Tribolium castaneum: one gene and its partner. The protein of the gene in region 1 interacts with the protein of each later gene in a pairwise test. Links are inferred from orthologs where the notes say so. Each region holds a gene or a part of one and is shown on either strand. Other genes may lie near its edges.

What was found.
Region 2: the proteins of Su(var)2-10 (region 1) and lwr interact in a two-hybrid assay, tested with the Drosophila melanogaster proteins (2 studies listed by BioGRID). The link is inferred for Tribolium castaneum from reciprocal best matches to the Drosophila melanogaster genes Su(var)2-10 and lwr.

Annotation. Positions count from the first base shown.
Region 1 is NC_087396.1:21,169,202-21,173,520, forward strand, and holds the start of Su(var)2-10 (E3 SUMO-protein ligase PIAS2), read right to left. Parts: upstream 2,803-4,319; 5' UTR 2,517-2,802; coding exon 2,490-2,516; intron 2,339-2,489; coding exon 2,169-2,338; intron 2,118-2,168; coding exon 1,976-2,117; intron 422-1,975; coding exon 1-421. Other genes in the region: Grip75 (gamma-tubulin complex component 4), read left to right, coding at 3,101-3,148, 3,196-3,611, 3,659-3,824, 3,872-4,168, 4,286-4,319.
Region 2 is NC_087399.1:9,253,738-9,258,204, reverse strand, and holds the start of lwr (SUMO-conjugating enzyme UBC9-B), read left to right. Parts: upstream 1-1,347; 5' UTR 1,348-1,495; intron 1,496-1,547; 5' UTR 1,548-1,554; coding exon 1,555-1,620; intron 1,621-1,669; coding exon 1,670-1,753; intron 1,754-1,805; coding exon 1,806-2,068; intron 2,069-4,467. Other genes in the region: transmembrane inner ear expressed protein, read left to right, coding at 1,124-1,209.

The DNA of each region.
Region 1 (4,319 bases):
TTGTTGGTATTGGGTTTGGTAGAGGACATGGTTTATTGTTAACTTTGACGATGACATTCGGCGGGAAAAAATCATCTTGTTCACATGTTGTTTCCAACAGACAGAATCTCAATTGTACTTGTTTGACATAATCGCATTTGACGCCTGGTCGAATGTCGCGTGAGCTTGCGATGTCTGTGGCTTGTTGTGGGGTGAGATGGAAATAGAAAGTGGCCTCTTGCATGCGTTGGTTGCTTTGTGGCATAAGTGTTGAGGGTTTAAGCAGATCGGAGATGATGTCGAAGAAGGGGAGACGACGGAATTTCACATCAGGATGGATGGGGAAATTGTTGGCTGCAATTGAACCTTGTTGGGATTTCTGTTGGGTGTATTGGGGATAAGGGTTGTAGACGCTTTGGTTGTACAGCGACGGCTGGCGGGTCTGCAAAAAAAAATTAATGCACTCCGACCGCCCATGCTCGTGTATTAAAATGTCTAAACATACAATATTATAATTTATAAAAAAAAAACAGAAAAATTGCTTTCAAAAATACCTATACAGGATGTCTCAAGTTTTAGTGACAGTCAAAAAATAAATAAAGCTAGTTGCACAAACGAAAAAAATTATATCGCAAACTATAGAGTTTCCAACACGCTTCAATTTGATGCTTTAACGTTATCCAAAATTTTCATGGTATTAGCGTAAAATGCAAAAAACTAATTAAAAAAATATTTTTTTTTGATTATTACAATCTTCTTTTATGATAAAAGTCGTCCTATTTTTTTATTAATTTTTTAAAAATTGCTAGTCGATTAATTGCTGAATTTGAATTTAATAGATTTTCGTGACAATTCAACAATTTATTTTTTAAGCAAACATTAATAATATTTTAATTGCAAATCAAAATTTGTCGAATTTAATTTAATTCTGAATTAAAATTTTAATTTCTTAGTAAATTCTCGTAGTTCTAATAGAAAACGAATCCTTAGTATTTTTATTATTCATTTTATTTATTAGGAATTGTAGAAAAATTCTGAAAAAAATCACATGAATAGAAAACAATGTAAAGTATTTAATAGTAAATGCTGAATTGTGTGCGTTTATTAGTTTTTCAAATATAGTAAAAAAAAACTTGTATTCATAATTGCCAAAGTAATTTTACTGGACTGGATACTGAACAGAAATTAATACAAGTTAGCGAAAGAACTGCTAATTTACCAATAAAATCTGTTCAAAAAGCTCCTAATACGTAAATATTTGCTAATTCAACTTAAACACATAAAACGGTGCGAATTTACCTCAAGTACATTCATTAATTTTGTTTTTTGATTAAGTCGATTTTCAAATAAAAACAAGAATTACCCAATCGTTCAATTTCATTAATCATTAACCAACTGCAATTCCGTATTAAAAGAGATGACCTTGCGTACGACTTACCTATGCATTTCCGGTCATTGACTCCAAGCCATTAATAAAACAAATAATAACCTAAACACAATTACGAAACATTCCACGAATAAGAAAGTCAGAATAATTGCATTTTCTCAAGAAATTTACAATAAAAACTTGGATCAAATGACCATTCCTAGACAATTTTATCATTCATATCGCATTTATGGCTCAAATACCAAGAGCCTTGAGTCATGTTTACAAATTTTTTATTAAGAAAAAAAGGACCTTCTGAGCAACGATGGGATCAGAAAAGTATTGCCTGCTTAAAGTCGTAACAAAAAGGGCTACAGGCCTCAGAAATGGACTTCTGAACGACCCATTCATCATCTCCCATCTGAACATCAGAAGGATCGTCCATTTCTGAGCCCCTAACCTTGGTCTATGTTCATCGAACCCGTTTCAGGAGTGTGTCGAAACACTTGGCGCCACCTATTTCCCCAAAAAGCAATCACTTACCAGTGGAAAAATTGCTCAATGACAGAAAAAAATGTAGAAAATAATATTTTTTTACGTAAAAAAACTGCTTTAAGTTAAGACACGTACGGATAATTGCCGACTGTCGATGTTGTAGGGGTGCACTGTGGCGGTGGTTCTCGGCACCGTCCCTTGGGGCTGCGGCATATTGTGGTCTTTGCTTCCTGGTGATAATGACGGCGTTGGTACGTTGCTCAAGGAACCCCCTTGCCTGTGAAAAGCGGGTTAGAACCAAGGGGGCGACCGAACGCTGCCAACTCACTGTTGAATACTTTTGTACAAGTCTCTGATTTTCTGATGAATCGGATGCGATCGCACTCTAAGGAGCTCTAAAGCCCTCTGTTGAAGCTCGGTTTTTCTTCCTGACTTATTCCGTCCAGCAAAACCCAATAGCATCTGCAGTTCGGACACCCGAAACGTAATTAGCATATTCTTGAACAAAAACAAAGATCAATTAACGCGCTCAAGGGGGCCCTGGCAACTGAACAATGCAAGAAATTAACGCACGATAAGCTGAAACAATGTGCAACTATCGGCCAATTACACAAACACCAACATGGTTAGGTGGAAAGGGGGCGCTTACCCGCAACTCATCTATGTTTTCTGACATTTCCTGTGGCTGATCCAGTTTGAGATCTCCTCTAACGTCACTTCAACCATTTAAACAAATGAATAACACGGCTTTTTGTCAAACATCAAGTGAGCTAGCGTCCGATCGTCAATTCAAAGCCTACCCAATAGGGCGGTTTCAGGGGGTTAAAAGAACGCCCCACGCACTTCTGGCACACAGATTTGGGCTATTTTTCGTGGCGTCACTTCGAAATGCACGATTTTTGCCAAAATAACAAACCAACAAACGATTTCACATAAGGGACTGCGCGCTGCCAACACTACAGCGCGAAAGCGAAAAGCACCAACACAAAAGTTCAAATCTACGACAAGAGAAAACAATCGCAAATAATTTAGTTACTCCAACTGTTGTTAATTCAAATTGTTATCGTTTCGAAGCAACATTATCAAAACACATTGGACACTTTTGGAAATTTATAGAAAAAAAAATGTTTTGGGTGCCACCACACAAAACTAAATATTTCTAACAATGAAAAATTTGGTGGGCAGGTTGGCAGCAATTTGCTAATTCAAAAATTGATGTTTTGAGGTTAAATAATTTTATTGGTGGTAAAAAAGGCCATAATGATTCACGAGATACTGATTAACTTGTTGCACAATTCGGACGATTCGGTATTTGTGACCGCTTTGTGGAGCCCCCTTGCAATTGTTTGTTCCAGTTGGGCAAACTTGACGAACTCCAGGAGTTCCTGCACCCGGGGGAGAAGCAACTCCTCCACCACATCATGGAAATATCCTCAAACCACAACTGGATCGTCTCATTTTGCAAAAAAATCCAGAACTGTAGTGTTGACCAACACGGTCTCTACATCAAGGCTTTTGTGAACGGTGTGCTTGATGTTTTGGGGGATTACAAGAGCGAAATTGTCAGACTGGAAGATCAGTTCTTGCAAAACCCCGAGCTCCAGTTAATTTTCATTTCAAGTTGCTTGGAAAAGTACCAAGTATTGTTCAATGTGATTATGTCGATTATTCAAGTCGTGGAGAAGGACAGGCTCCATGGGTGCCTCCTTATGGGGCGGCTCCACAAATACATCTACTGTGGCGTGGAACCTATAACCCAAGCTGCGAAAAAGTGAAATCCCACCCTTGAAAAACCACTTAAATGCGGTTTTCTTACAGGATAACTCACTGCTTCAACAGCATTTTTTACCGCCACTTGTGCAACTGGATCATTTACGGCGACTTGGTCGACCTTTATAAAGAGTTTTTCATCAGCGATGGCGAATGCTGGGACGAGGATTTCCTCTACCCTGAGCAAAACGAAGAAAGCACACTGACACGAGTTGTACGTTGAATTTTTTCGCTAACCGTTTTTTTAACAATTTTTTGCAGAAACACCGAATCAAGCGCCCACCACCTGTCCGCAAATTCACAATAGTCTGGTCTATGGTTCCGATGTTTATCACTGAAGATACGGCCGAAAGCATACTTTTCATGGGCCGAATCGTATGGATCGTCAAAAACCACCAGAAAACCAACACAGATAATTACCAAAACCTACACAAGCCTGACGTTTGGGACGGCAAAGATATAGAGTATTACAAGAAAATTCAAGCGCTCGAGACGCAAATTTTCGACCAGATGGAGTTCCAGAGAGTTATAGAGGAGTGCAGAATCAAGTTAACCAAAGTAAGGATTTTTTTCCACGATTTTTGGTAATAAACTCAATTTTTGTGCCAAAAACAGGAAGATTTCGTTAAAAAAAATATAGCTTTCACTGTACTCGTAATAATGTAGAATTTCTAGTACTTGTGGTCCGTTATGGTGGACGAGGGCGACC
Region 2 (4,467 bases), on another chromosome or scaffold:
CTAAACCCTACATTAGAAGTATTGGGAGTTCTAATGATAGTTATCTGAAAATTTGTGTACAACCATAACCTTTTAGGTCCTGCTTAATAAAAATATTTTCAAAATGGTAGCACTTCCGGTTATATCAGAAGTCACTATCATGTTCCTCATTTTAAACGGAAAGCTATATTTTTTAATGCGTTTTTGAATTACTAGAGTTATTTTAAGGTTCTTTTCATAAGCTCTCACTAAACCTAAATTTATTCGTTTACAAAATATTACAAAATGTTTTTAATTTTTTTTTGGATTTGCACCTTCCAGTTCAAAAACTGATAACTCTACCACTTTTAAAAGATTTTAAATCTTTTTCAGCTTATTTAAAAGAGGAAGCCTAGAACTTTCCTTTGGCGTTTTCAAATTTCTAAAAAAGAATAACAAATAATTAAGTTATAGGTACCTGAAATTGTCCAAACTTAACCTTAAAATTTTTGGGTTTATTAACTTCATTTTCAATTTTAAACACACCAAAGAACAGATAAAGGCCTTCTTTTTTAATTCTCCTAATATGATTTCCAAATCGCTAAACTAACCGAGTTACCAATTTTTTAAGTGACAGGTGCAAATCCAAAAATTTTCAAAAAATCTTAAATATCCTAAAAACGGTAAATTTTAGGTATAGGGAAAACTCTTAAAATAACTCAACTAATCCAAAAACGCAGTGAAAAACATAGCTTTTCATTTAAAATAAGAAAGTTAACAGCGACTTCCGGTATAACCGGAAATGCTGCCATCTTGAAAATATTTTCATTGGCAGAACTTAACGGATTATGATTGACTACCAACTTTTAAAAAATTTCTTTATTAGAGCTTTCAATACTTCTAAAGTAAGGTTTAGACGGAACAGCCTGTAGTTTACCATAAATAACAATAAGCACTGAAACCTTTAGCCTGTATTTGAAGAAAACGCAATTTAAAGTGCACCCTCAAACCAATGTATCTTTATGGGAAAGCCCCGAATCTTTATTTTTTTCTGTATTTGAACTACTGAATTAATTTCTCTTTAGTGTTCTGAACTCCGAAATCGTCAATTTTGAGCCACCTTGTATTTTACGGTTTATTGAACCTAATTATTAATTTTTTGCAGCCTTGAAACTCATTCAGGAGGATTTTGACCAAGAAAATGCCAAGATCCAGGCAAAAGTTGATTTGCAGCAAGTGACGTCGAACTAATCAAATTCGCGCCAATGTTTTTGCCGCCAAATAATTATTACACAAATCCGGGTTTTTGTATTCGTTAAATTTGTTTAAAATCATACACGAAAAGTTTGAATAAATAAATTGTTCTGGAACAAATAATCGGCGACAGGGTGGCCAACACAAGTCGCGTCTGCGCGAATTCCCCTACCTGTTTTCCCAGTTTTTGTCTGTCAACTGTCAAGAAAGCACCGAAGCCCGTTAAATTTTCCTTTAGAGTTTGAATAAGGCCCCATTAAATACCCCAGTGCCCACTTTTAGAGTACGTTTTGGTCATTTCGTGCGATAATTTTGAGGTAGAGCCTGATTTTTAGTTCTAGGATGTCTGGAATTGCTCCCGCTCGTCTCGCCGAAGAACGCAAAGCTTGGCGCAAAGAACATCCTTTTGTGAGTAATTCCTTACAAAATTGCCCTCATGTAATCCATTTCTCCGCAGGGATTTGTGGCCCGACCGTCGAAAAACCCAGATGGCTCTCTAAATCTAATGAACTGGGAGTGCTCAATTCCTGGTAAAAAAGGGGTAAGTTTGTTGCATTGTTTAGTAATTGTTGGGTTATCGCATTGTTGTGTAGACGCCATGGGAGGGTGGAAATTACAAATTACGCATGTTGTTCAAAGATGAGTACCCAAGCATTCCCCCAAAATGTAAATTTGAACCACCGTTGTTCCATCCAAATGTGTATCCGTCAGGTACGGTGTGTTTGTCGTTGTTAGACGAGGAGAAAGATTGGAGACCGGCGATTACTATTAAGCAGATTTTACTCGGAATTCAGGACTTGTTGAATGAACCCAATGTTAAAGATCCAGCACAAGCAGAGGCCTACACAATCTACTGGTAAGTGGTTTTTTTACGGGGTGTTTACATTTGACGTAGTCAAGAGTGCTGTGGATATTGTGATCACGTGATCAAGGAAATTTCGTATCTAGTAATCCATGAAAATGAAAACTTAGTTTCGTAAAGAAAAGGCACTAAGACAATAAATGGACAAGGTTACACTACGGACATCTAAAGGTTAGGATACGAAATACAAATTAGTACAAATAAAGCGTTATTGTCCTCGATAGTTCCGTTAATGTCACCAGAGGGCGCAGTTGATCCATTAGCATCAAAGCCAGTAGATATACTAAAGTAGCGACACGGACCTTGACAGGGCAACAATAACGATTATATACTCTAGAGAGGGCGCAACTATCGAAATTCGACATATACCGCATTATTTACATAAAATGCGTAGCCTTGAAAAGCCTTAGTAAGTGCGTTTTGTCTCTGTTTCTACGTTTAATCTTCACTAAATGAAATTGCTAAAGGGGATGCTCTAAAGAGATATTCGTTAAAGGTCACATTAGATGATAGATTTAAATCGAGAATGTATTTAAACAGGCAGTTTAGTTTTCCAAGGCTCGACATTTTTTGTAATAACGCTGTAATTTTAAAGGTTCGCCAAATTGTCAGTAATTTTGAACATACGTCAAAACTGTCAAGATTCTCTCACTTTTGAAAAATTGGTAAAGAGCACAGTGATTCTGGCGTTCATCTGTAGTTTTACTGTGGTTATTGGTTATGAACAGATTTCATGGAACTTTCAAACCTGTGCTTAAATCACGTAAATAATAAATCGACACCAAAAACATTAAACAAAAGGGCCTCCAGACTGTTCAAAGTCGTCCACATTACGAAGCACGTCTGTGTGAGAATACTGGAAACTCATTCAAACAAAAATTGTTTCAGAAACATAAAGTGTTAGGTACCAACTTGAAAGAGAAATTTCTAAGATACCAAATTTTCAATAAGTATTTCAGGTAGATTTAAACAATACTTCCTTGAAAATTCTTCTAAATTATTAGATTCTGTCCTAATGGGAAAGAATTTAAGACCGCTCTGCTTACACTGACCTTCGTTTCACAAAATTTAATGCATCTAAATCTGGGAATTGTAGCGCATCGAAGTTTGGTGGACTTTTTATAGCCACTTATTTACAGCAACTATGGTATGCAACATTTAAATAATAAAGAGAAATTCAGGTTGTATTATTTCTATTTCTTAGGTAATATCGAGGTGTAAACCGTACCCCAAATTTTGTACACCTGTAATTTAATCATGATTCCTTCTGATTTTTCCCTAAATTTTTAAAGTGATTTCCTTAAAATTTCTTGATTTACTCAATTTTGTACACTGATTTCCTCTGCGGTTTACCTCTCGGGTAATATTGAAAACATTTTCTATTCTTATTGCGAAAAATGTCTTGGTTTCATAGCAGTTGTTAATAGTGTTGAGGGAAAAAATTAAATTTAATTAAAAAAAAATAAATCGACCAATTTAAAATCTTGGAGTAATTACATACGATAAACTGTAAAAACACTTAGAGAGGAGTTTATTAAAATTAGAAATGTAAGTATCACAATTTTTTTAAATCAAACAACTATTATTTTGAAACGTGTTTTTGGCTTTTTCGTTAAATACAAAGTTCAAATTCTTTTAAGGAATGAATTCACTGTTGAAGCGCCAGCACCTTCTTCGAAATGTCCATAAGAGTTGCTGTATTCTGCGCATTCTAAAAGCCTTTCTCATTGCAATGTTCAGTTGAATTTAGGGACGATCTGATTTACTTTTACGTGAGTGAAGCACAAGTTTGAAGGTTTCATGGTATCTGTACACATAAACTGTAATAACCAGGGTGAAATTAAAGACGATCACCGAATTCATTGTTCTGATTCACCAATTTTTCAAACGTGAAAAAATCTTGACATTTTTGACGTACGTTTTTGAATTTTGATGGTGGAGCCATCTGTAGAGTGTATAATCGTTATTGTTGCCCTGTCAAGGTCCGTGTCGCTACTTTAGTATATCTACTGGCTTTGATTAGCATCAGGTTTTCAGAGCAATGAATTTAAAAAAATTGTTGGTAAATTTTTACTTTAGCTACTTCTGGATTTTTGAAAATTTTTTTTTTGCATTTTGCTTTAAAAAGCCTCTAGATCAAAGATATGACCTTGAAAGTTTGTGCAAATGCCCCGTTTTTGAAAAATTCGACCTTGAATGACCTTGACCTAAAAATTTTTTTAAAATTTTTCCTTTAAAATTGTGCCGATTGAAAATATGACCTTGAGAGAATTTTAATTGTGTTGCCATTTGGTCATACATAACATGGGGTCGAATTATACACCTGATAGTTAAAAAAATGTTACACTCAAATTTTGTTAACACTCGCTAATAAATGATATTAACCGTAAATG